7 linked regions of the Tribolium castaneum genome follow. The main gene of each other region encodes a partner of the protein of the gene in region 2 in a complex. Links are inferred from orthologs where the notes say so. Each region holds a gene or a part of one and is shown on either strand. Other genes may lie near its edges. The genes, in order: MED21, CycC, MED18, MED16, MED8, mediator of RNA polymerase II transcription subunit 25 and MED20.

Region 1 (2,793 bases), on a different chromosome or scaffold from region 2:
AGTTTGCGACAACATATTTCCATTTTCAACGGTGTAGGTACAATGTGTTTTTAAATGATTCTTGGTGTACGTGTAATAGAAAATTTTATTCTCCATAAATTTCTTCGTAGGATTTTTCTTGTGTTCTTGATTTGTCCATTTGTTTTTAAATTAATTTAAAACGACTTGGCGCCGAGACAGTATAATGCTCAAAGCGCCCTCATTTTTACATTTTGGGTACGATTTTGTATCTCGTTTCGTTTCCTAAGCGACAGTCTTCCATAACCCGAAAAAATGATTTTTACAGCCGAATTGCTACGCCAAAGTCATCACAATCGAGTCGCAAAAGAAAATAGTGATCTACTCGAAACAGAGCATAGGTGTGAACGAGGAAATTACTTACGATTACAAATTCCCGATCGAGGACGAGAAAATCCCGTGTCTGTGTGGCGCGGCCACGTGTCGAGGAACACTTAATTAAAGGGAAACAAGACAGACTTTAAACCGAGTTAGTTACTATATAAAATTTAAATTATCTTTTTTATTTGTATATATGTTTCTGTAAATAGTACATGGTTATTTGTGTTTGTTTTTCATCACAACCGCAAATAAAATTCATTAACAGCTCACTTAACTATCCTTACTCCCCGCTTTTGTCAAATGCTGCATGTCCAGCTGTGATTGGGCGATGTCGCTCAACGCCGCCTGGATTTGCTCCAAGAGATCCTGACCTTTACGAACTATAGCCTCGAGACGCTCAGCAGACTCTTGATTGTCTGATTCCAAAATTCGCAAGCTTTGCAACTGAAACAGTGTTTAGTCCGCGGTCGGACCAAGTCATTGTAGATAGGTACCTGTAATTCGGTTGAATTTTCCTCGCTCGGGAGCGATTCAATCAAAGTATCTATGTCTTTGGCACAGCGCGCAATCAACGTTGTGAATAACTGGACGTAGTCTTCTTGGTTCTGTTGCTGGGGGGTTTGGGAGCCACTCCTGTCGAAGTTTGGGAATTTGCTAGGAGGGGCGAACTGTTGCAAAATCCCAATGCTGTTGCAGAAATGCTCGGCTTGCTGCGACAACACGAATGCAATTAGTGGTACAGTCTTAGGGGGAATTACCTGATTTATGCAATCCTGGAGCTGGGTCAAACGATCGGCCATTGAGGTTATGTTACCCAATCACCGACAAGTGATAAGACCCGAAATCACATAAAAACCAACACTGATGATAATTTGTTATCTCCCGAGGTTTAATATGCGACAAAATATATTAATTCGTACGAAATAACTAGAATAATACTAGAAGGTGAATGACATCTTGCAAAAACAAACACACATGATTGCCAACCCAAATCTGGTTGGGTAAAGTCTGCGTAAATTAATCCCACCGGGCCGAAGTTACATTTTAGTTATCACGCCTGATTTCAAATATAGTAGAACGGTTTTATTTACAAATTAATTGGTTTTATTTAATCAAATAATAACGCAAAACCGGGGAGTAATAGCCAACCCACGAGTTGAAAGTCCCCAAGTCAGTTTTTGACAGATGTCAAATTATTATTATTATTAATGAAAAATAGCAATTACAGGCCTGTTCAGCGCTTTAGAAATGTCCGGGGCCAAGCCGTGGGAGCGACCATGGTCCATGGACGAAATAATCCAAAATTCGGACAATTGGAATTTAGCCGGAGATGTGGCCCTTTTGAACACTCTCAAGGCTTTTGCAGACGTATTTCGCATTTTTGGCCCACATTGAACCGTTTCAGCGTTCAATTTTTAGAATCTCCTGACTCGAACAACCGAAATCAACAATAACTTGCAAAATTTGACAAGCTCCCTGTCTGAGACAAGTCTCCAGTTGAATATAGCCCAAAACGAGTTTCAAAGTTTGCGAAACAGCCAGTTTATTGAAAGTCGGGTTTATGAGGACGATGAGACTTTGGAGGAGCCGGTTGAGGCGAAAGCCGAGGAGAAAGAGGTTGATAAGACTGAGGAAATCAGGTTGGCGGCTTTGAAGGGTTTGGAGGTCTTGGAGACGTATTTTGAGAAGGTTGAGGTGTCGGTCAGTGACAGTGAAGACGACGATATCGACTTGCCCAAGTAATTTTTTTCTAAATAATTTACAAAAACTAGTTTGTCTTTTCCAGTTTTGTCCTCAGACCCAAAGACTTGTACCTGGAGCGCCCCCTTCCGTACGTAATCGGCTCAGAAGAGTGGCAAAAGACGTGGCACGTGGGCCTGGAGGACTCGTCCAGCGATAGCGAAACTGAGAAAGTCTCAGATAATTTCAGTGAAAGCGACTCAGAATCAGAGTTGCCAATTATTCCCGACAGAACACAGGTACTTTACACATGTTTTTCCACTGGTTGAGTTGCACTTGATCCATTCATTATCATAATTTTATTGGTCTATTAACCGGCCAACCGAATTTTTTGTTTAGTCGCGATCCAGTCGCCATGGGCAATATCTGGTTCTTTTTCCAGATCAAGGGCACCTCTGATACCAGTTCTGAGGACTTGCGAACTGAACCGAAAAATTTCGTCAATTCGAGTGATAGTGAAAACTCAGTTCCGGTGCAACCAACTACCAACTTTGCCGAAGAGTTGGCGGCGAAATTGGGGAACGTGATTGATCAAGAGTACGTCAATCGACGGCCAATCCAGAAAACGCCACAATACGGTAATTGTTTTTGGAAGCGGACCGCAGACTAAACGCTAATTCCAGATAACCTATTTTTCGATGAACCGCCGCCTTTGGACGAACCTAAGGGGTTGTTTTCAGGGGGTAAGGGCTTGTTTGATGACGATGATGAAGC
Region 2 (3,990 bases):
TAAGTCTTCCACAGCTCGAATAAATTAATAACGTATCTTGCAATTTCTTGAATTCGTTCTATGTCCACGTTCAGTTCGGCAAACCAAGCCTTGTGGTCCTTTTGCAAGATGACACAAGCTATTTGAAGACAGCCAATTGCAATTTGATATGGTGGATAAAGCAAACACACATCAGTCCTAAGAGAATCGTTCACTATCCTCCAGGCGAGAGTCAAAAGTTGATCTTCTTGACCCATGTCTTGCACTAGTTGTAAGAGAGGTCTATAAGGCTGATAGACGATCAAGCAACAGTCGAGGTTTTCTAACAAGTAGAATTCACACTCTAGGATGTGGTTCGTACGATATGGAAATTCCTGACTATAGGCGTAACTAAACTTATTTTTAACTGAAAATAGATTGTTTAAAAAAGCTAGTTTTAACTTAGCCTCCTTCGATCTTAGACGGCTTTGAAATTATTAACGACAGAATATAATATTAATTTTTGGATTTTTAAACTGTAATTAATTAAATAACCGCGAGAGGTCGCCCTGTTGAGTGGTATGTTCTGAATACGGAGGACTATAAGTTAGGAGACCAAAAATAGTACGGCAGAGTAAAACTGAGGGCGCTACGAGCGTTATACCGTCTTGTCGCCAAATCGTTTTAAATTAATTTAAAACCAACCAATTCATTAATAACGTGGAAAAAATGTAGAAATGTTTTGCACTCTTAACAGACTAAGAAAGACTGACGACTACAAGTTTCATGACAAACATGAGAATTTTTTTATTTAATTTGTGCTTTAAGAAGACGCTGCGAATACAATTAAAGATACAGAAAAATGTTAGGAAGAAATTTGTAGAGAATTAAACTGACCTGCTAAACAAAAACCTTGTAACTACTTTTACGTATTTTTAAGTTATTTCGTGATTCTTAAATTTTCTTTAAATCGCACCTTTATGTTATATGCTTTTGAACTTTAATGAAAAAAATTAAATTGATACGCAATTTTATAGACATCTTTTTAGAGCGCTATTTTTCAATTTAAAACAATTGAAATAAAAAAATTGCTGAAGTTACTAAGCAAAAAAGTCGTAACTACAAAAAAACATTTATTAGAGAAAATTGAACACTTGAAAGCTAGATATTAGCATATAAATTAACGAAGAACAACCAATGCTTATAAATACAGTGGCGCTAATAAGTATTAATACAACTCATTTTTTTATTAAATGTGTTCTCTTTCAATTATTATTAACTTTTACTTATTTTTTGGTAAAAGTTGAGGCGGCAACGAGCTATCTTTAGATAAAGACAAGATTTACAAAGCTGACCAATTTTTTTAGTGCGATATTTTTTTTACATAATAAATTAAATTAAATTAATAAATAATTAAAAATATTAAATTTGACTTTTGGGTTCACCAATGAGACTAGCTAGTCTTAATATTCCCAGAACAAATGGAAATTTTTTTTAAACAAATAATTCGATGAATAAATTTACTTTCAGGCATATACCAAATTTCAATTAATTTTGAACATTTAAAATTTTAATTCAGTATTGTCAACAGACAGTATTTCTGGATCAGTCAATTAATAATAAACAATACTTCATTAAATAGACATTTTTAATTTTAGTTTTGGAGCAATTTATCTCAAAAAATTAAACGATTGTCCGGTAATATATTTTTAATCTTTTCAAGAGTTTCTGTTTATAAAATTTGATCCCTAAGTTCAAAAAAATTCGACGTGACTTATTTATCCAATTTTTGTCCCTCGAATAAAAATAGTATATACTTATTTATATCTGTAACCGTATTCGCAGCGTTTTGAAAATTATGGGACAGAGTGCAAATTGGTAAAAGTTTGAAATTTTTTTAAATATAGTTTATGATAAAATTTTTGCATTATGTTTATGTCCTACTATTGAGAATTTAATGCTCTATTTGCCTGTATTTTTTTTGTTTGCTGTGTGTTAACCGTTATACAAATACAACCATTTTTTCAAATTTATTGCTCTGAAAACCTTGGTAATGGAACAACAGCGTTCTCTGGCGGCATTAACGGAAATATCAAGGACAGGAACGTTTTATTTGTACGTCGTACCATATCCTAACTTTTAGATATCCGTAGTTCCGAAGTTGGATGCTTTTCGGTAATTTTTTTAACAAAAACTTGGGAAAATTATATCTGGTAACTTTTAGACCAGCCATCTAAGACCATCACGGAGACTGTGACTTAACTTACTGACTGTCTGACACGTTGTAATTAACCTAGAATTGGAAATCACCCCAAATTCTTCTACTTTGGAGGCTAGAAAAATGCAAGTGGGGGCTAACAATAACGGATCGATGCACTTAAGTGAGTTTTTTGCATAAAACCTCTTAAAATAAACCGTTGCGGTTGCTATAACTTGCTGGCGTAGCTTCAACTGTTCGCCTAGTGTTTGAATGACTGAAAAAATAAATTAAGAGAGTTGATAATAACCTAATATAAATAATACCGCTAGCAAAAAATATAAATATTTTTTGGTACTCCTCCTCCGTGAGGAGTTGGAGATCATGTTGGCGCTCCCTAATTAAATCTTGTTTGTCCAAAAGCCACTGCTGGCTGGAAAAAATTCATTTGTGATTTTGGGGCCGTTTTCATATCGTAACTTACTGGTGTGAGCTTTGCCAAAAATTTCCAGCCATTGCACAAACTAATCTGAGTTGAATTAAATCACAGGCAATAACTTTAAGCTTCCAGTCAATTATTAATTAACACAAAAGCAAAAGAAACCGGTCAAAGAAACTCAGTCAAGTGACAAGTGTCAACCAATGGAACTACTGTGGTGTTTTTTAACCTACGACCTCTTTTATTAAAACTGTAGACCTTAGAATACTAAAATTAAGTACAAACGAACGCTAATTTTTCAGTTTTGTTATTTATTTTATTTATTGTTTGTTTCGTTCGAACCATATGATACGAAAATGTTTGGTTGATTTGAACTACTTCAAATGTCAAAGCGCCACTTGTGACAACAAACAAATTATTGTTTGTGTGTTTTTTTGTGTTGGGAATGGTGTAGGGGCTCGGGCCCCCAGTTTTCTTTTTTGGATTCTTATTTATTCAAAAATGTGTGCTTGTGTACAAGTTGTGTAAATAATCAGTGAGTTTGTGCGACATAACCTCTAAATGCTTCCAAAAATGAATCCAGTGTACGATTACATTCAGCGAAACCGGGTTTTGGCAAAAATAGAAAAAGCTCATGGAACTAAAGCAACGAATTTAGCGCTAGATGATTACGACCTTGTCAAATTTCCCCCCTTGTTGGTGAGCTGTGTCCACCTCTCATATCTAAACATTGGTCATAATCAAATCACTGAACTGCCCAAGTGTCTCGGACAGCTCAAGAATTTGCAAAATTTGTCTCTGGAGTACAATAACTTCGATCGTTTCCCTGAAGTACTCAAGGATTTGCCTCAGTTGATTACTCTAAACATAAGCCATAATCCGATTAAAGACTTGACTAGAGATATTGGAAATTTAACTTCGTTAGAAACATTATGGTGTAACCGTTGCTATCTGGAGTCTTTACCTGAAGAAATTGGTAATTTAACAAAGTTGGAAACCTTGGGGGCTCGGCATAACCTGTTAACAAAGTTACCAGATGGAATCTGTAATTTAGTGCAACTGAGGTAAGTATGACACTTACCCAAAAATTAAAGAATTTTAGTTTTCGAAAAATCGACAAATTATTTTTACTTTATTCCACTCTCTTGTGAAACAAGGTCGAATTTTATCAACGAAAAAGTAGTACGAGGCGAAGCCGAGTGTGTTAATGCTTTTGGTTGGATAAAATCGTATTTTATCCACTGTCTACTTTATGGTAAAACGGAATTTTGTCGCCTAGAAAAATATAGTTCGCAACTATTGTTGTTTTTAAAGTATTTTTTATTGTTAAATTTCTTAATGTTTATAATTGTTAATCAAAATAACTCAGTAATTCGAAATAATCGAAAAAAATGGA
Region 3 (2,734 bases), about 860 kb from region 2:
CGAGCCGGTGATGTGAAATTTTGGTGTGAAAATTAGTGGTATCGCCACAAATTGTGTTAAATTTAAGTCTCCAGAAAATTCGGTTTTAAAAGTAGGGTTATGTTATCATTTGGAAATGTCAAATCATTCATTTTTTGGATTTTAGTGTCCGTTTCTGCTCTTTTAGAGCGTTTATAACTATTATTCAATATGTTATAGGCAGATAAATCTACCTTTGAGTCAACGACATAAACTTCAGTGTGATTTATTGAAATGTATATAGGGCAAGAATGAACTTTTCGTGTTAAACATTTTGATGAAAAAGGACGTTTAATCGTTTATAAAAGGCATGTATAGGTGTGTTAAGTTTGCCATATAATAAAACATAAAATACAACAACTTTTCTATAAAAGCATTTTGCAGAACTCTTATTTATTATTTTCACTATTTTCCTCCTTTTATTTGTGCAAACGAGCCGTTGATGTGAAATTTTGGTGTGAAAATTACTGGTATCGCCACAAATTGTGTTAAATTTAAGTCTCCAGAAAATTCGGTTTTAAAAGTAGGGTTATGTTATCATTTGGAAATGTCAAATCTTTCATTTTTATGGATTTTGTGTCTGTTTCTGCTCTTTTAGAGCGTTATTAATTACTATTGAATATGTTATGGACAGATAAATTTACCTTTGAGTCAACGACATAAACTTCAGTATGATTTATTGAAATGTATAAAGGGCAAAAATGAACTTTACGTCTTAAACATTTTGATGAAAAAGGGCGTTTAATCGTTTATAAAGGGCATGTTAAGGTGTGTTAAGTTTACCACGTAATAAAACATAAAGTACAACAACTTTTCTATAAAAGCATTTTGCAAAATTCTTATTCGTTATTTTTACTATTTTCCTCATTTCCTGTAATAACTGATTCGCCCTTCGGAGGCCATTCTGAATACTGTAATGAATTTTTAAAGATAAAATTTGCGAAATCGGAAAATTTTAAAGAATCTTTAAAAATTCATTAAGGTCCCAAGGGGTGTTTGTCCGAACATGATTTTTAACAGTCAAAGGCCCTATCGAAGAGCTTAATCTCCTGCAAAAATAAAGAAAATTGCATATAAAGGGGGTGAAAAAAAATCAGTTTGCATTGCTTGAATATGAGAATAAAAAATGCAGAAATTAAATACAGTTAAGTTTTAATTTGTAATAGAAACTCATTACAATGGTCAGGAGATGTTCTACAAATGTGTTATGCAAGTCAGCGTAACAACTTATTGATGTTTTTATAATGAATTACGATTATTTTGATAATTTTCCTGGTGTGAACTTGGCTGTAGAAAACGAGAATGGTGGGGAAACGGTGCTAGCTCCATGCGCGCAGCCCTTGTCTGGTCGACTGTAATTTTCATGGTGCCACCACCATTTTTGGGGCTGTCTCCGCCGACATACACTGACAACTTACACTTCAATCAAAACATAACCTCCAAAAACTGTGATAATCTTCAGTAATTGTCGGAAATAGGCCGTTTTCCGCAAAGTGATTGTCACTGTTACAGAAATGGGGACTCCTGGCACGGCCATCGACTCCCTAAACGCCGCCCTCAAATGCAACATAATCCCCAACCAGGAGTACCTCCTCCAGGGCTCAGTCTTGGACCAATACGTCGAGGTGCTCCTCCACCGCTTGCGCGGGCTGTGCGACAACGTAGACAGCGGCCCTGAGTCGTTCCACGACCACGAATTGTGTTTCACCCTCCGGGCCACCAACCCAGGGGCCCCCATGGTGCTCCCACTGCGAGTCCGGCGAGCCCTCGACGTGCCCGACGCCGCCTGGCAGCTGCGCTACGTGGGGCAACAGGAGCTAGGCGACAAGAACCGGCCAACAGTCGTCAGATCGAGTATTGACATGGCTTGCAGTTCCACAATTGTTGAATTTTTGACCGAGCTTGGATGCAGAGTGGATTTTGAGTACATCGCCCGGGGGTACATGTTCCGCAAAGGCAGGATGAAAATCACAGTGTCGAAGATTTTCAAAATGGGGAGCATGACGAGTAAGCCGGGCGAAGGCGTAGAAGCGATTTCCCAGAGTTATTTAGTTGAATTGTCCGTTTTGGCCCCGAGTGGACAAGATGCTATTGCGGAGGATATGAGAATTTTTGCCGAGCAGTTGAGGCCGTTGGTTCAGCTTGAAAAAATCGATTATAAAAGACTTGGAAATTTACCGTAATTTATTTATAAATAAAATACAATTAAGATTTAACTAACAACAATCTATATAGCCTTGAAAAATCCTTAAAAAATATTGCCAAACCTTTCCCTAAAACCCTGAATATGTCTTTTTATACTTTTTTAAATAAAAAAGTTAGGGGGTGTCTACTAAAGTGATGACACCTGGTATTTTAACTACTTTCCCAAACTTTGACTGATATCTTAAAAACTAACAGCAATCTACACAGCCTTGAAAAATCCTTAATAAAATATTGCTTAACCATTCCCTAAAACCCTGAATATGTCTTTTTATACTTTTTTAAATAAAAAAGTTAGGGGGTGTCTACCAAAGTGATGACACCTGGTATTTTAACTACTTTCCCAAACATTGACTGATATCTTAAAAACTAACAGCAATCTACACAGCCTTGAAAAATCCTTAAAAAAATATTGCTAAACCTTTCCCTAAAACCCTGAATATGTCTTTTTATACTTTTTTAAATAAAAAAGTTAGGGGGTGTCTACCAAAGTGATGACACCTGGTATTTTAAC
Region 4 (4,238 bases), on a different chromosome or scaffold from region 2:
GGCAGAATACCATATCCAGGTGAGATATTTCAATTGGTCGGTAAATTGTTGATTGTCGATTGTTTAGGTATGACCAATGCCGAGGTGTTGCATCAAGTCGAGCACGGGTATCGCATGCCGTCGCCCCCCGGCTGTCCCGCGCCGCTCTACGATATCATGTTAGAATGTTGGAACCGTGACCCAATGAAAAGGCCGACGTTTGAGACGTTACAGTGGAAATTAGAAGACTTTTTCACCATGGAAGGTTCAGAATACAAAGAAGCGTCGGCTTACTGAGGTCACGCCCACCCCCCTGCTGACTGGCTGCGTAATTCGATTGACTTACACTACCATTAGTGGGGAGGTGGATATCTATTTCTATGTAACAATAGATAGATATGCCCGTACTCTTATTTCTTGTCGTGACTATGCTTGTGTTTGAAATAATGGTTTGTGAAGTTTTATCAGATTTTTACACGTCGACTAGGTATCACAAACCACTATTTTGCGATTTTAATTTTAAACTTTGCTTCCTTTTATACATCGTGAATGGGGCTCTTCGCTCTGGCTCATCTATTTTTAAATATTCTTTATATAATAATTTATTTTAAGATTTTATGTAATTTTATAGTGAAATTCGACAACGTTAAATTTTCCCCGATTGAAACTTTTAAACGCACAATTCGTGTCTACCAATAAGAATGAAACGATGTGTAATTGTTGCTTGTGCATATTACCTAATTCCCCTAAGTACTTACGCTTTTGCATTTATTTTTTAAAAACGAATAACATTCCTCTCAAGTGACACTATCCGATATCTCTAGCGTTATTTCCCAGATGCCCTACAGTTATTAAAAATCGGTACTAATTTATGAAAGGCGTTGTTTCTTGGTTGTTTTAGTCACAACTTATGTCTTCATTATTTTAAGATTGTTATTAAAGGCATTGTTTATACAGTTATAGGCCATTATGAAAATATTTTTTGTATTATACACTTAGAATATACAATAAAAGTCCTTTACAATTTTCGTTGCAATTTATTCAAACCACCTCCACGAAATAGAGTTTGCTAAATTCTTATAGCACCCACTGGGGCATGACTACTTTAAAAAAAGGTTACTAAATCAGGGGTTTTTAAAGCAGTCGCATGTGGACTTGCTTTACTATTGCAAGGTTTGAAAAGGAACTGAAATAAGACATCCAGTATTTAAACACCAATATCCAATTAAACTCCGCCCAGGTGGGTACTTCTCGTATTTGGATACTTTTATGTTGTCCCTCGTAACGTTGGCAATGTTTCGCGCGCAACCAGTATTGCATCTCCCGAGAATGTACACTCATGAGAATTCTCTACTAATCGCTAACCTTTTATTTTTTTTTCTATCCATCAAACCTAAACTCAGAGCTTACACAATTCGAACAACACTTCGTAATTTACTTTTGTGAGCAATTTTATGAGAATAGAAGATTTCTCGTCAGCGTACATTCACGCGTATGCCCGACAGCTGTCAGGTGTCAAAAATCTGCCAATTCAGTAAAGTTTTAAAAAGATGCTTCATTAGATAAATACCGAAAAATGGACCATATTTTCACCATTAATAAGAAAATAAATAAATCGGTGGACACCAGCAAGCATCTATCATTCACCAAGTACCGCCCAAACGAAAGTTAACCATTTACCAACCGTTTGAATTCCAGACTCGAGAAGTCAACCTTATGCTCGATTTCAAGCTCCAACGTTGTTGCTTTCAGCACGGAATGCAATATCGAAGAAGCGGGTTCCCTCTTTTGGAACTCTAATGTCTACGTCTGCGATTTAAACAGTCCCTGGCAGGTCCACAAGTACGTCCCCAAAAACACTTTCCTGTATTAAACCTCCATTTCCAGAATATTATCAAACTCTTCCCCCATTTCGGTGCTCCAGTGGGACTTTACGGGCGACCTTCTGCTAGTCGCGGACGAAAACGGCTCGATAAAAATTTACAAAGCTAAAGACCACATCCTAAATGACTGGACCCTTGTCCTCCAGACTGTCCTAGAAGGGGAGCACATTCTGTCAGCGGCGTTTTTCCACTCGGGCAAGAAAATCTGCCTCAACTCTGAGAAAAAAGACAGCGCTTTGTACACGGAAAAGTTTCACCATGTCAAGTTTGCCTGCTCTGTTAAACAGTTTGGGGGGCGCCCTGCCAGTGGGGCCCTGCTACTCACAACGACGGGAATGTTGTGCTCGATTTTACTCCCCCAAAGCACGAGCCAGGTCGCAATGGTCATGGCGACAGAAAGCCTGGCCCCTACTAGGATTTTTATCAAAGCTGCTGATATTTGCTATGGCAAAAGTAGGTTTTTTACAAAATCATTTAAACACCAAATAATGTTATTGTGTAGACGGTCATTTTTTGCTCGCTGTGAGTAACGGAGACTTATCAATGCCTATTCAGTGTTATAAAGTCTCTGTCAGGAAAGCTGAAGATAAGTGTGTCATCACAAGCCAGTCTTTACTCAGTTTTTTTCTATTTGAGGCGCCTAAGGAAGCATTAAGTAACAAACTGAGTCATTTAAGCCGTTGTTTAACGTTTGTTTTAGTGGAACAAGTTTCCAAAGAAAAAAATTGCCACATAAGTCATATCAAATGGATAATGAGAGAGGACGCAGATTCGGTGGTTGTTTCAGCCACTAGTGATAAAATAAGCTGTTTGCAAGTGTGGGAATTGAGAGAGAAGGCTTTGCCGGTTCACAAATCACTAGGAAAATCTGAAACTCCCCAGTTTTTTAACACTGTCGTACGTCTATTATCTCATCATGTGATAATCGATACTTACTTATTTTTTAGTTGTGGCAATACCAGTGCCACTTCCAGTATAACAGCAAGGTCACTTCACTAGCTACAAGTAAACTAAGTCTATTAAATAATGTTTCAAGTGGTTATGTCGTGGCCACATTTGCCGACAATTCCATCCATTGCCTCTACAGAGACACTCTAAAACATTTGGTCAGCACCACTTTGACCATTTGTCCGCGTTATTTTGACGAACCTCTCGCCAGATACCCCAAAACTAGCATCAAAATCTCAAACATTGACATGTCCTGGCTCGGCAATATTTTACTCGTGATTGATTCAGACGATAGTCTGCATATGTTTAAGTTACCGCCCCAAATCGACAGCTCAACGCCTCTAAGTGTACCTTACTGTACCACGATTTTAGAGTATTGCATGATGAGCGGTTTTGATTGGTTAGACTTGTTGCTAGTGTTAAGACCTGGAATGTTGGACGCGATATGTGACCGACTCACCGAAAGTTTTAATCGCCAGCCCTCGGCAGTGCAACAGTTTTTCTACGTGCAGTATTTGTGCATGAAAATATCGCTATGCAGGTAGGTTCCTAGTTTACCGACATTGGGTGACAAAATTTTATTATTTAATTATTGTTTTAAATAGAAAGCTTATGATTTTACTGTATTTTTGTATTATGCGAGATATTTTAAGGAGTTTTTACCAGTTTTTTTATAGCAAAGTTAACAGTTTTTGTAATATTTATATTTTTTTGATTTGCACCTTCTTTTTCAAAAATCGAAGTTCCTGTAGAGTATTTCAAAGAAAATGATTAGATTTTTTTCAAATTTTAAATTCCGTAAAGAGTGACAAACTCTAAATTTGAAAGATTACGTTTGAAGAAATTCAACTACTTAAAACACAATTTTGCCAAATTGATTCTTTCTTTACTAAATGAAGAAAAAAACTACCAGTAATTTTGCATCGAGCCAACTATAACCACCATAATATTTTTCAAGTTATTTATAAAGCTTAGGGTTACATTAAAAAAAATGAGATGTTCCCAAACGTAACTTTAAAATGTTTTTTTTAACTTTTTTGAAAACACCAATAAGGGAATAAAGCTTTCTCTTCTAAATGCCCAAATACGATTTCGAAATATTATAAATGACAATGTTGTCGATTTTTGAAAGGGAAGGTGCAAATCTAAACAGTTTTAAAAAAATATAAATACATATCTAGAAAACAAAAGGAAACATAAACACAAAATATTTGAGAAAAATTTGAGTAGCCAAAAAAAAGCAATAAAGAATATAGCTTTTCACTAAAAAAAATGTTTCCAATTTCTGTATAAGCGGAAGTGCCACCACCTTGAAAATATTTTGATACCTGACTAAACAAATTTTTTGATGAATATTGTTATTGGAACCGGAAACACTTTTAATGTGTGCTTTAGGCGCAACACCTCGAATTTTGCGAGTAAAATTCA
Region 5 (4,098 bases), on a different chromosome or scaffold from region 2:
ACACAGAATTATTTAAAATAGAACAGCATTGATGTAAAAAAATTAATTATGACAAATGTATTTGCCTATAAACGTCTAAAATTATAAAAGTTTCGCATGCAGTCAATGGAAAAATAAAAATGCATGTTTTTATTTAAACAGAAACTGGCAATGTGAAAGTTTGGTGCGAAAATTAGTGGTATCGCAATGCGTATAACCACATTGTTTGTTTGTTTCGTTTTGTTGAAAATTCGGTAGGTTCCAAAAGTAGGGTTATGTTGTCACCCGAAAATGACAAAATTTACACTTTTATGAATTTTGTCTCCATCTCTGCCCTTTCAGAGCGTTATGATAGGATATTTAGGGTCGAAATCTCTACCTTTATTATGTGCTATTGCCAGATAAGGACAAAAGTTCAGAAAGTAGGGTTAGGGTGTATTATGATCTCTTCTGAAGTGTTAAATTTTAACTTTAATGTTTTTTGTGTGCTTTCCTGCTCTTCTAGAGCGCTATTAATTATTATTGAACATGTTTAAGGACAGACAAATCTACCTTGAGTCAACGACATAAATTTCAGTGAGATTTATTGAAAAATGCACTTCTCGTGTCAACCTTTTCATGAAAAAGGGTGTTTAAACGTTTATAAAGGGTATGTTAACGTGTGTTGTTAACTTTACCACGTAATAAAACATAAAGTATAACTTGGTAATTTTTTACTTTAACTACTTCTGGATTTTCAAGCTGAAACTTACACCAAACGATTCCTCTGAGTGCCCTGATGACCGTACACTATGAATTTTCTTGTGCAAATTGAAAATAACATTAGAAAAATAATTTTTATTTTCACTCACTTTTTACTTGAATCGCCATTTTTGTTGATTTTAATTTGAGTTTATTTTTTATAATATCACGTTAATTTTTATTATTATAGTGGATCAAAATGTCGTCTTTAGGTTAGACTATTGCCTACTATCGGTTAGGAACAACATGATCTCCAAAAATATAACGTAGTAATGAGCTCCAGAAGGTTTACGTAGATAGGTGCGTTTTTCCCAAAAGTGAGTTTTTTGAGATCGAACCGCAAGTGAGTCACACTGCGAGGAGACTCCCATAGACAGAAGTTGCAAACATAAGGTGCCAGACCGGTGCCAGTTTGGCTGATTGCAAGTATGTCTTTATCATCGATTCGGTGACGACTATTAGTTTCGTAAACTTAATGGATTTAATAAATATCTTTAACATTAAATGTGATCGTGTCATGTTGGGTAAAATTCTTCCATCTGTGCTGTCTGTGCATCCACCTTTTCAAATACAATTAAGAAATTTTCATAATAATTGTATTTGATAAGGTATTGGCATCATTTTGACGTGAGCAAAAATTAAAAAAATATAAAGTAATCGGAATTATTTTAAATTCGCGCCATTTTTAGTACGTGATGATGCGGCTAGATGGCTTCAGCTAGGAATTCATTGCCAACCATTATGTTCCGCTTCTATTAAAGTGTTATTCTAGGGCCACAGCCATTGCCGTCTCGAACTCCAGGCCGTCAGGTTACTAGCTTTTGTTTATTGTGACGTCATCGTAAGAGTCGTGACATTTGTTCGCATCGTTTGAATATATTGTACTTTTTGGTGTTTTTGAGAGTGTTATTAAGTAATTTGTTGTTGTTTACGAATTTGTTGTTTTGTGGTTGCGTTGTAGGGAATGAATTTTGTGTGTTTATAGTCTTGTGTGACGTGATTTTGACAATTATAGGTTAGGATAGTTTTGCATTATTTTTGTTTATAAATTTGGTTTTATTGTTTTTAATCGTTTAATTTGGTAATAAATAAGCAGATAAGGCATATTTCAGTCTCTAAACCTAACATACTTAATCCTATTGCATTCCTAATTTTAGAAAATGCCGAATAAGTGTTGTGTTCCCAATTGTGTGTCTAACATGAATGGTCCTTATGTACCTATGTTTTCCTTTCCCAAACAAGAATCCCTGCGATCATTATGGTCAAGAAAGATACCCCGAACTAATTGGACTGTTACCAAGAACAGTCGTGTTTATGTGAAATATTTTCGGGATGATTTTATAATAAAATATCACGAAGTGACTAGAGATGACGTAAAATTCTTCGTCATATTCTTATACTTTCGATCACACTTTTACGACTAATTTAAAACATATTTAGCGAATAATAACATGTTGCATTCCATAAGAACCTGTGTTAAAACTTGGATAAAACGGTCGTCTTTAAGTCGCGGTTATTCAAAATTTAGGCCCATAAGGAGAATTTTTGTATTAATAGACGTAACTTTAGACGTTTAAGTACGGCTAGATGGTTTAAACTATCAAAAAATATAAACTTTAATATATGTTTTTCGGGTAATAACAAACGGATAAGGTACTTTAAATCACAACGTATGTCACTATAAAAATTATAGTTGACCGTTCGTTGACCACATTTGCAGTATCAGGATTCTTTAGATACACTTTTCCGTCGTTTCTTGCATAAAACGTTGGACGCAACATAGTTAAAATTAATTTTTTGCAAAAATTCAGAAAGTTAGGTTATGATCATTTAGACTCTTACTGTGACGTCACAATGTCAACATGCAGGCCTGGAGTTCGAGACGGCAATGCCACAGCCGACATACCGTCATCGTGGTTAAGGTTATGTTTTTGTAAACAGCGCCAAAAATACAGCAAAATGCAACAACGGGAAGAAAAACAACTCGAATCGTCTCTCGATTCCATAATCCAGCGTGTCAACGACCTAAAATCATCGATAGCTTCAATGATTTACAAGGTGGAGAATGAATATGAGACCCTCAACTGGCCCACATTTTTGGACAATTACGCCCTTATGTCCGGCCAACTCACCTCCCTTTCGAAGGTTTTAAGCCACGACAAATGCCCCACCCTCAGAAATCTCACAGTACTGCCCCTCATGTTGTCCCCCGAGCGGGACGAACAATTGGCCCAAATGACCGAACACAGAGTCACAACCTTCGCCCATGATTTAGTCCCAGATTATCTTCGAACCAAACTAGAACCGTTGGCGGAGAATAAAATGATGCAATTGGAACACAAGGCGTCAACTTTATCGTATGAGAACGCACAGGTATGTTAAAATTTTTGGTAGAGTATGTTTCAACGCAAACTTTCAGAAACAAATTGCTGCGTATCAAAAGGTTGTGTCCCACGTTTGGGAACTGGTGAGTAAAGCGAGGGAGGAGTGGGAAGTTGAGTCTTCCGCCAGGGGAAGTACGCAGCAGAATTCCAGTGTGGCTGATACTCACTCGCTTGTGGCGGCTGTTGGAATGGGGAAGGGACTCAAGATGGGGGCGAACCCTAACGGTCAGCCCAATCCCACGTCGGGAGGGATGATGGTGCCTCCGCAGGGGCGCCCAGGGGGCACTCCCGGGCAAGGACAGATGCCCCCCAGCACGCAAACCATGACGATGAATAAGGCGCCCTCTGCTATTAAGACTAACATCAAAAGTGCCACCCAAATACATCCATATGGACGCTAGTGAAATAGTTTTTAATGTGTACGGAGATATATTTATTTATTAAGATATAATCTTACAAAAATAACTAAATATAACAGTGGAAACAAAGATTAACACTTTGTAGCGTAATGAGTAGATTATAAAAAGCATTAATTTTATAGACTTTGAAACTATACTATCAACAAATGGTTGAAGTGTGGCTGGTCGGAACGGGTGGCTTTTCCAATAAGTACAGCGGAACTTGAACATTTTCACGATGTATGTTAGCACATGCTACGCATTATATAAAATATAAAACATATAACATTTAGAATACTTGGGACCCAGTCAAACAAAAATTAACAACTTAAAAAAATATTTTCTACAACGTAACGCGGGTGACTGGACCCTGTTTACGTATAATACGCATTTAAAAAAATATAACAAACAACAAATAAAATACTCTTGTGCATAAATTGCAACTATTCTATGGTCATATATTTTCCTTACATGGCAAGAGAATTTTCCTAAGTTTTTGTTCCCTATATACAAAGTGGTACAATAAAAGAATTCAACTCTTTATACTCTCTAATTTGTTAATATACTTTTGTTTCTTAAAATACTGACCAACAATT
Region 6 (4,294 bases), on a different chromosome or scaffold from region 2:
ATCGACGTCTGAACATTTGGTTGCTGATTTTGCTGATTCATAATATTAATTTTCATTTGGGGTTGTTGCTGTTGCGAATTAAGCGGCGAATTATTCCCCACTAAAACACGCAATTTACCTCAAACACCTCAAAAACTTCTCTTTTACTTTGTCCAAATTGATTAACCCCAGTCCCCGGCATAGAATTCGGGGGTTGTGTCAGCTGTGCAATCAGTGCGCTACTTTGGGTGGTATTAACCTGTTGGTTGGGCGGCAGATACGACCTGGGCTGCGTTGGGGGCAACATAGCTGGCCATCTGGGCCGGTTCGCTTGGTGGTAGCCCGGCGGTGCGGGCAATTGCGGGATGTTCATGGGGTTGTTGCCCATCATGGCCCCTCGGGCGTTCACCATACCTACCATGCCTGGTGTAACATTTTGTGAGTGTTGGGGGGTTATACCTTGAGCGCTGGGCGGCCGATAGACGGGCGATGGGCCCACTCCTGAGGGAACCCCGGAGTTGGCGGACGAGGATGACGAGATGGGGCTGTCATTGCTGGCTAAGGGGCTGGGGAGAGAGGTTATAGGAATGGTAGTGTTAGAAATTTGGGTTTGGGCGGAAGTGGCGGTACCGGCAGGGGGGCTCAGGGGGCGCTCCTTCAGGCTGAAGCCGCGCAGGAGGACCAAGTGACGGGGGTCCTTGGCGTAGTTTTTCGTCTGGGAAGCGCTCAAATCACCGCCGGCTTTCTCGAACAGTTTATACAACGAGGGGATTTTGCGCGGCGAGATAATCGACAAATTGATATTTTTCTGAAAGTTAATTATGCAAATTTGGTGGAAGACACTTGGTTAATTACTTCTTGCAAAATAGCTGCTAGTTGCTCAGCTGTCTTCCCTGTGTAAGCATGAGTTTCAAAAACCCCTAGAGAATAAGGGGGCGAGTTACACACTAGAATACAATGCTTTTGAATGTTGCCGTTATTGTCACGTTTTTGCTGCAATTCGTCAAAACATTGAAGGGTTGTGGCTAAACCTTCAGCAATGTTTGCATGAGACTCGCCTTTACCTCCTATAAGTCTGAAATAATTTTTACATTAAGTGATCCTTTTCCTAGTTAGAACTTACTCAAGTTTGTCTATGGCATTTAATACCTTACTGGGGCTTACAAAGGGCCCAATTGTGTCGCTACTGGGGTGCGGTAAGCAATCAGCAGCCTGATACACCACAATTCCGTAATAAGAATTAATCCCTTCTGATAGGAAGTTGCTCTCATCAATACTCCCCTGACTAAAATATCTAAAAGTCCCTCAGTTACAAGAACATATTCTCCAATTAAAAACTACTACTACTACTTTTTCGTATCAGGGTGTAATTTTTATCATAACAAAGCAAGGTTACACTGATTTCTCAGTACCTCAAACCTTGTTCAACTATCCGTTCAGAATTCATCACGAGAAAAAACAGAGAAATAAAAGATTGGAAATGTAGATGTAGATACAACAAAAATGATGATATTTGGAAAGAAAAGTAGTATGGGAATTCGGAAAAGAGGATGAATGGCAATGGGAAGGAAAAATATAGAACAAGTGAAAGACTTGAAGTATCTGAATCAGATATGTACTGTATTATTTTAGTCAATCTTCACTATTTCAGTTAGAAGAGAGTAATAAGTAGCAAGATGTCAGACACAGCCCATATAAAAGAAGCAGCAAAAAAAAACAAATGGGGTTTTAGGAAATGTTTGAAGCTTGGGAGAACGTAAATTTAGTGAAAATTTCAAGAGAAAAATAATAGCTTAGGGAAAAGCACTGTAATGTAGGGACTATTTTGAGCAGAAGTGTGGGGATGGAAGAAATACGAGATCGAACAGGCTAAATAAACAAATGCCAGAGTACATAGTAAAAAAAGGAAGAGAAAAAAATTAAGAGTAGATTAAGGAAAGAGAGCGGTGGGATTTGAAGAGAAATTAAGAATTCTGCGTGAATGCAACAGTGTTGAACAGAAATCAAAAAAGCAAATGAAAATGTTAGATGGAAAGGACGAAAAGACTCCTATGAGAAGAAGGAATAAGTGTGTATAGAAATTAAAAGAATAAGAGAAAGGGGACGAACAATGGAAGAGGAACTGAAATTGAGAGATTTGGACATAGATAGGCAGGAAAGAATAACATGGAAAAAAGAATCGAGGTGTAATACGTAAAATATGCCGTGCTTATTGACGGATGAACTCCTCTCATACTTAAGGAAGATGTAAAGTAAAGATAAGAAAATCATAGCCAGATTTAGACGTAGAAATGAAAGCGAGAACGAATATTGGAGAGAAGATTGGGAAACAGTGTGCAGATTAAGCGGAGAGTGTCACAGTTTGTGGAGGTAAGAGTGTGCAAGTTTGATACGAAAAAAAGTTTTAAACGAAAATGGTAAGGGAAAAGAATGGATGAAAAAAGTGACGGGTGCAAAAGAAAATTGGGAAAGGTAAAGAATATCTAGAATATCAAATAACTTCAAGTAGGACTGTAAAGCCAAATAGGCAATAAAAACAATTTAGCAGTAGTAGAGAAAAACATGTAATACATCAGAAGTTACAAAAAAAAGTAAACTTACTCTAACGAAGGGATGATATAATTGGTTTTTAGGTCATTTATATAAGCACCATTCACTGCAGTTCCCTCGATAACAAAAACGATATCGGCGTGTAAGCCATGATCAGCTGGACACACAACCATTGTTTAGTCAAAATATTAAACAATTTTAATGAAACAATTTAATACAAGCACCAAACCCCGCCATATTGAAAATACCTGTCAAATTTTTAGGGATGTTACGTCAAGTTAATGGCAACACTTTCATTCAGATGAAATTTTATTTTAGCCAAATTATGCAAAAATGTTGTCTGGAAAACTAATCAATTGAATAGAATTATTAGTAGATTGCATTTAACCAAAACTACCTGGCTATTTTCGCCAGAAACTAATAAAATTTAATCCCAGACTGGGATTATATTTTTTCCCCTAGTGTCAGGCGTGTTGACGTCTGCCGTGAACAGCTGATTATTTGTCATCAAACACCGCAAACAGTGAATTAATGCGTCTTTACTTTATCTGAAATAGTGTAACACCATGGCATCGGCGCTAACGGACAAAGTCAGAGAAAGGCGAAGTCGGGTAGGTGCCAATGATTTAAAAAATCGTGCTTTAATGCCGAAATTTAGGTCCTCCTTGGTCCCCTCCCGGAGGATTTTCTCCGTATCAGCACCTCGGTTCAGCAACAACAAGAGGCAGCGGATCGCCAAACAGCCATAGCACTGCACCACCAGCTAAGCGGTGGCCAACAGTACACAAATGTCGTTGGGAGGCTCAGTATCACTGTTGCTCAAGCTAAGCTCGCAAAAAATTACGGAATGACCAGAATGGACCCCTACGCTCGGATTCGGGTCGGGCATTGCGTTTACGAGACGCATACGGACCCGAACGGCGGCAAAAACCCGCGATGGAACAAAGTTATTCACTGGTAAACACATCTCAAAAACTAGCAAGTCCCTACTTTTCCATTTCCAGTTTGTTGCCTCAAGGTATTAATACCATAACGTTAGAAATTTTCGACGAACGCTCATTTACGATGGACGAACTCATCGCCTGGACGCAGTTCCAGATCCCCCAACAGGTACTTGCAGGGGAAACCCACGAGGATTGGTACCCATTAAATGGGAAACAGGGTGAAGGTGTCGAAGGAATGATTAATCTCGTGTTAAGTTATCTAGTGTTCCCTTCATATAAATATCAACCACCGGCGCCTGTTATGGTGGTGCCCAACGTAACAGGGGGCAATGTCACACCCTTGAAGGTGTTTACAGCGCCTCCTACTGAAGCCGCGCCTGCTTTGAGTGAATCCGAGCTCAAACAAATCGAGGAAATGTTTCCAAATATCGATAAAGAGGTGATTAAGACCGTGTTTGAGGCCAACAGGGGCAATAAAGACGGTACCATTAATTCGTTACTTCAAATGGCTGAATAAATCAATCAGTAATCTCATTTACGCCATAATTAAACTTTAGTTGCGGATTCTAGTCGTAGCTTTTTAAAATTCCATTTTTTGTCATTTTTTAACTCATCAAGTGCCAAAATTTAGCCATGCTTTTTGGTTTGCTTATCGTGCAATTTTAATTTTTAACGATTTCTACTTGAACATTTCCATTGTTAATTCCAACTACGGGGGGCTAAAAGTTTTGGGAAGGGGTTGAGTTAAATTAATACGAAACCGACTTTATTTATTTGGTATAGAAAATTGAGTGATTCAGTCCTCCGTAATTCCAACTCAT
Region 7 (2,522 bases), on a different chromosome or scaffold from region 2:
TTCACCAATTTTTGGTAACGGTATATCTAGGACTTTATCTCCTAATGTACTCATTGTTACTAAAAATAAATTTTTGAAATAAATAAATAAATTTTGGGAATTTTTTGCGAAACCTCACCAATTTCAAAATCCTTCCCAGGATGAATTTTTTTGAGCAGTGAAATCACATGTCGCGTTTGAATGAGAGCCAGCTGAAAATGTCAAATGAAAAAGAGCCCACAATAACAAACACGTGATAAATACCTCGCTTTTCCGGGATCCAACCCGGATTTTCTCAATCTCACTCATTTTTGTGCTTTTTCTCTCAAGTAAGGAACAATTACCGCAAACGCATGATTATGTTTTCATGCTGTTTTATTGAAAAAAAACTGCTTCATCACCACTATCACATTCTGCCCTACGTAAGTGCTGATAGAGGTGAACAATCAACTTTCCAAATTATGTAATTAGACAAAGACGCATAATAGTCTAATGTGTGGGAGTAAAAGAGAAAGACAATATAACCTCAAAATTGTTTTTATTTAATTTTTTCTTTACAAAAACTTTGAACCTTACAATAAATTAGCTTAAAATTAGGGCCTTAAACCGGGGGCCTTCCTAAATATCGTAAACTGCTCCAAATACTGATGAATTGTATCAATGGGGGTATACAACTCCTGCATCCTGTTTTGCAAATACGGTGGGGGCGTTGCAGGCACCGACGACCCCAAAAACCCCTGCAGAAACTCCCGCATCAACTCCCAACACATCGCAGGCACCACACATGGTCGATACTCTACTTCAACCAGAACCCCCCGAAAGTTCTGACTTACAGTCACTGTTCCCAATTTTACACAAAAATCACCGATTTCGTATCGCGGCCCCTTCGACTCGGCCTTAGTCTGTTTTTTTGATGAGTAAAAACCGGACATTTTCATCATCAGGAGATCAAAAAGGCCGTCAGTTGCGAGAGGAATGGTCTTTTGGCCTGTCTCAAGGATCGAAAAAACAGTCGCCGGCTGCTCGGAATTGTGAAGGACGTGGACTGTACGTTGGTGTCCCAAAGCGGCACAAGAAGTAAACGTTTCGCAATCGACGAGAAACTGGCCCTGTTGCAGGGCCCCCAGGGCGGAAATTCGCTTCGAGAGGAGCTCAATGGTGGAGGGCCCCGTGCGGTTCTCTGTGGGGAACTGTTGTAACACTGTGACCCCCATTTTAAGTGGATTTTTGGGGGCTAAATTGAGGTTATTATAGCTTAATGATCGTCAGTGGTGCCAACTTAGCTAGGTGTCAAAAATGCTACAAGTTCAAAGTCGTTGACCCCTTATCTCTTGAATCATAATGTAAACATATGTTTTATATTTACCGTATTTTTGGATTTGATTTATAACAATAAATTTTTTTGAAAATTGCGTTTTTATTTTGGTAAACCTTAGCTAACGAAAATTCCTAGTGTTCTTACGCGCCAAACTGCAACTTTCAAAGTGGTGGAATAAAATAGCGATTATTAAATAAAACTTTTATTATAAAAGTGTCATTTTTACAAATAAATAATTCAAGGCGAGGCTTTCTCACAACTTGACAGTGGCAACGTTCCTAATTCTTCGTCAGCAAATTCTTCAGCGTGTCTAAAAAAAAAACAAGATCAATGGATGAAAAAAAATTAGTCTAAATTAGCAACTTACTTTTGCTTAATTTTATAAATGTAAAATAGAACCATAAAATTTATCAAAAATAAAGCCGCTATGAGTAAGGCCGGTGCTAAAACATCTGAAAAAAAATTAACAGCAACCTAAACAAATCATAAAATGCGTTACCTGAAACCATTTCGATATTTTTCGATTTTCCGATGTCTTGAACAGTTAGCAGAGGCTTTTGTTGAAGTTTTTCTGAAAAAATGAGTAAATTTAGCCTTGTTCACGAGTCGCCGCTGACTTAATGAATGTGGTCTGAAGCGCAATTCCGCAATTTGATAACAACAAAACTTTTCATAATGATTTTTTTTATAACAATACAATATAACCTCAACTGCTTTGTCTAATTGGACGCTAAAAATACAATTACATGAAAAAAAACTCTAGAAACACTCACTATTTGCCTCGTTAGTGCAAACTCCTACAATTCTTTTTATCGCGAAAAACGCCTCTAGGTAATCCACGTGGTTCCTACACGATTTTCCGTTGACAACTGAGCATCGCGAGAGAGATAAAGCAATACGGGAACGTTTTGTTGAACGGAAACACCAACAAGTCAATAGGCAGAGGCGTAGACTCCATAATATAATTAGATTTTGTTTGGGAGTTTCATCGAATGCGAAATTGTTTTGTAGGGCTTACGTTCAGTTTATCTTTGTTTTATCCAAACTAGCAAACTCGCACAAAGCACGAAATGTGGAGTTTCGGCGTTATCTTTGTTCGCACACAACACTTTATCTCATTAAAAATTAAAAAGCGGGGTCGGAGGTCAATTCCATTTAGCGTCTAATCAAACTTACTAGTACAGTTGGGCAGAGGGAGGTCGACGTCCCACTTGGCCCCCTCGCA

Evidence for each region.
Region 1: CycC (region 2) and MED21 share a complex: the UniProt entries of both Homo sapiens proteins name them as parts of the mediator complex. The link is inferred for Tribolium castaneum from reciprocal best matches to the Homo sapiens genes CCNC and MED21.
Region 3: CycC (region 2) and MED18 share a complex: the UniProt entries of both Homo sapiens proteins name them as parts of the mediator complex. The link is inferred for Tribolium castaneum from reciprocal best matches to the Homo sapiens genes CCNC and MED18.
Region 4: CycC (region 2) and MED16 share a complex: the UniProt entries of both Homo sapiens proteins name them as parts of the mediator complex. The link is inferred for Tribolium castaneum from reciprocal best matches to the Homo sapiens genes CCNC and MED16.
Region 5: CycC (region 2) and MED8 share a complex: the UniProt entries of both Homo sapiens proteins name them as parts of the mediator complex. The link is inferred for Tribolium castaneum from reciprocal best matches to the Homo sapiens genes CCNC and MED8.
Region 6: CycC (region 2) and mediator of RNA polymerase II transcription subunit 25 share a complex: the UniProt entries of both Homo sapiens proteins name them as parts of the mediator complex. The link is inferred for Tribolium castaneum from reciprocal best matches to the Homo sapiens genes CCNC and MED25.
Region 7: CycC (region 2) and MED20 share a complex: the UniProt entries of both Homo sapiens proteins name them as parts of the mediator complex. The link is inferred for Tribolium castaneum from reciprocal best matches to the Homo sapiens genes CCNC and MED20.

Annotation. Positions count from the first base shown.
Region 1 is NC_087401.1:8,393,380-8,396,172, reverse strand, and holds MED21 (mediator of RNA polymerase II transcription subunit 21), read right to left. Parts: upstream 1,328-2,793; 5' UTR 1,140-1,327; coding exon 1,098-1,139; intron 1,050-1,097; coding exon 834-1,049; intron 784-833; coding exon 610-783; 3' UTR 501-609; downstream 1-500. Other genes in the region: Set1 (histone-lysine N-methyltransferase SETD1B), read left to right, coding at 287-460; FAM21 (WASH complex subunit 2A), read left to right, coding at 1,588-1,707, 1,759-2,078, 2,126-2,318, 2,462-2,657, 2,703-2,793. UniProt on the Homo sapiens protein: Component of the Mediator complex, a coactivator involved in the regulated transcription of nearly all RNA polymerase II-dependent genes.
Region 2 is NC_087394.1:8,425,934-8,429,923, forward strand, and holds the start of CycC (cyclin-C), read right to left. Parts: upstream 2,801-3,990; 5' UTR 2,672-2,800; coding exon 2,640-2,671; intron 2,589-2,639; coding exon 2,482-2,588; intron 2,433-2,481; coding exon 2,226-2,432; intron 386-2,225; coding exon 1-385. Other genes in the region: leucine-rich repeat-containing protein 1, read left to right, coding at 3,156-3,658. UniProt on the Homo sapiens protein: Component of the Mediator complex, a coactivator involved in regulated gene transcription of nearly all RNA polymerase II-dependent genes.
Region 3 is NC_087394.1:9,286,397-9,289,130, forward strand, and holds MED18 (mediator of RNA polymerase II transcription subunit 18), read left to right. Parts: upstream 1-1,321; 5' UTR 1,322-1,479; intron 1,480-1,530; 5' UTR 1,531-1,532; coding exon 1,533-2,201; 3' UTR 2,202-2,234; downstream 2,235-2,734. UniProt on the Homo sapiens protein: Component of the Mediator complex, a coactivator involved in the regulated transcription of nearly all RNA polymerase II-dependent genes.
Region 4 is NC_087396.1:16,567,347-16,571,584, reverse strand, and holds the start of MED16 (mediator of RNA polymerase II transcription subunit 16), read left to right. Parts: upstream 1-1,438; 5' UTR 1,439-1,555; coding exon 1,556-1,629; intron 1,630-1,677; coding exon 1,678-1,821; intron 1,822-1,866; coding exon 1,867-2,315; intron 2,316-2,364; coding exon 2,365-2,517; intron 2,518-2,562; coding exon 2,563-2,759; intron 2,760-2,809; coding exon 2,810-3,351; intron 3,352-4,238. Other genes in the region: tyrosine-protein kinase Src42A, read left to right, coding at 1-19, 68-276. UniProt on the Homo sapiens protein: Component of the Mediator complex, a coactivator involved in the regulated transcription of nearly all RNA polymerase II-dependent genes.
Region 5 is NC_087396.1:15,801,447-15,805,544, reverse strand, and holds MED8 (mediator of RNA polymerase II transcription subunit 8), read left to right. Parts: upstream 1-1,490; 5' UTR 1,491-2,574; coding exon 2,575-3,093; intron 3,094-3,139; coding exon 3,140-3,505; 3' UTR 3,506-3,598; downstream 3,599-4,098. UniProt on the Homo sapiens protein: Component of the Mediator complex, a coactivator involved in the regulated transcription of nearly all RNA polymerase II-dependent genes.
Region 6 is NC_087402.1:9,089,832-9,094,125, reverse strand, and holds the start of mediator of RNA polymerase II transcription subunit 25, read right to left. Parts: upstream 2,801-4,294; 5' UTR 2,703-2,800; coding exon 2,581-2,702; intron 1,274-2,580; coding exon 1,103-1,273; intron 1,055-1,102; coding exon 835-1,054; intron 788-834; coding exon 439-787; intron 394-438; coding exon 148-393; intron 101-147; coding exon 1-100. Other genes in the region: toll-interacting protein, read left to right, coding at 3,096-3,140, 3,188-3,486, 3,534-3,990. UniProt on the Homo sapiens protein: Component of the Mediator complex, a coactivator involved in the regulated transcription of nearly all RNA polymerase II-dependent genes.
Region 7 is NC_087398.1:429,539-432,060, reverse strand, and holds MED20 (mediator of RNA polymerase II transcription subunit 20), read right to left. Parts: upstream 1,330-2,522; 5' UTR 1,194-1,329; coding exon 573-1,193; 3' UTR 501-572; downstream 1-500. Other genes in the region: Hmbs (porphobilinogen deaminase), read right to left, coding at 1-59, 119-191, 244-288; uncharacterized protein LOC103313212, read right to left, coding at 1,535-1,607, 1,665-1,749, 1,797-1,868, 2,474-2,522. UniProt on the Homo sapiens protein: Component of the Mediator complex, a coactivator involved in the regulated transcription of nearly all RNA polymerase II-dependent genes.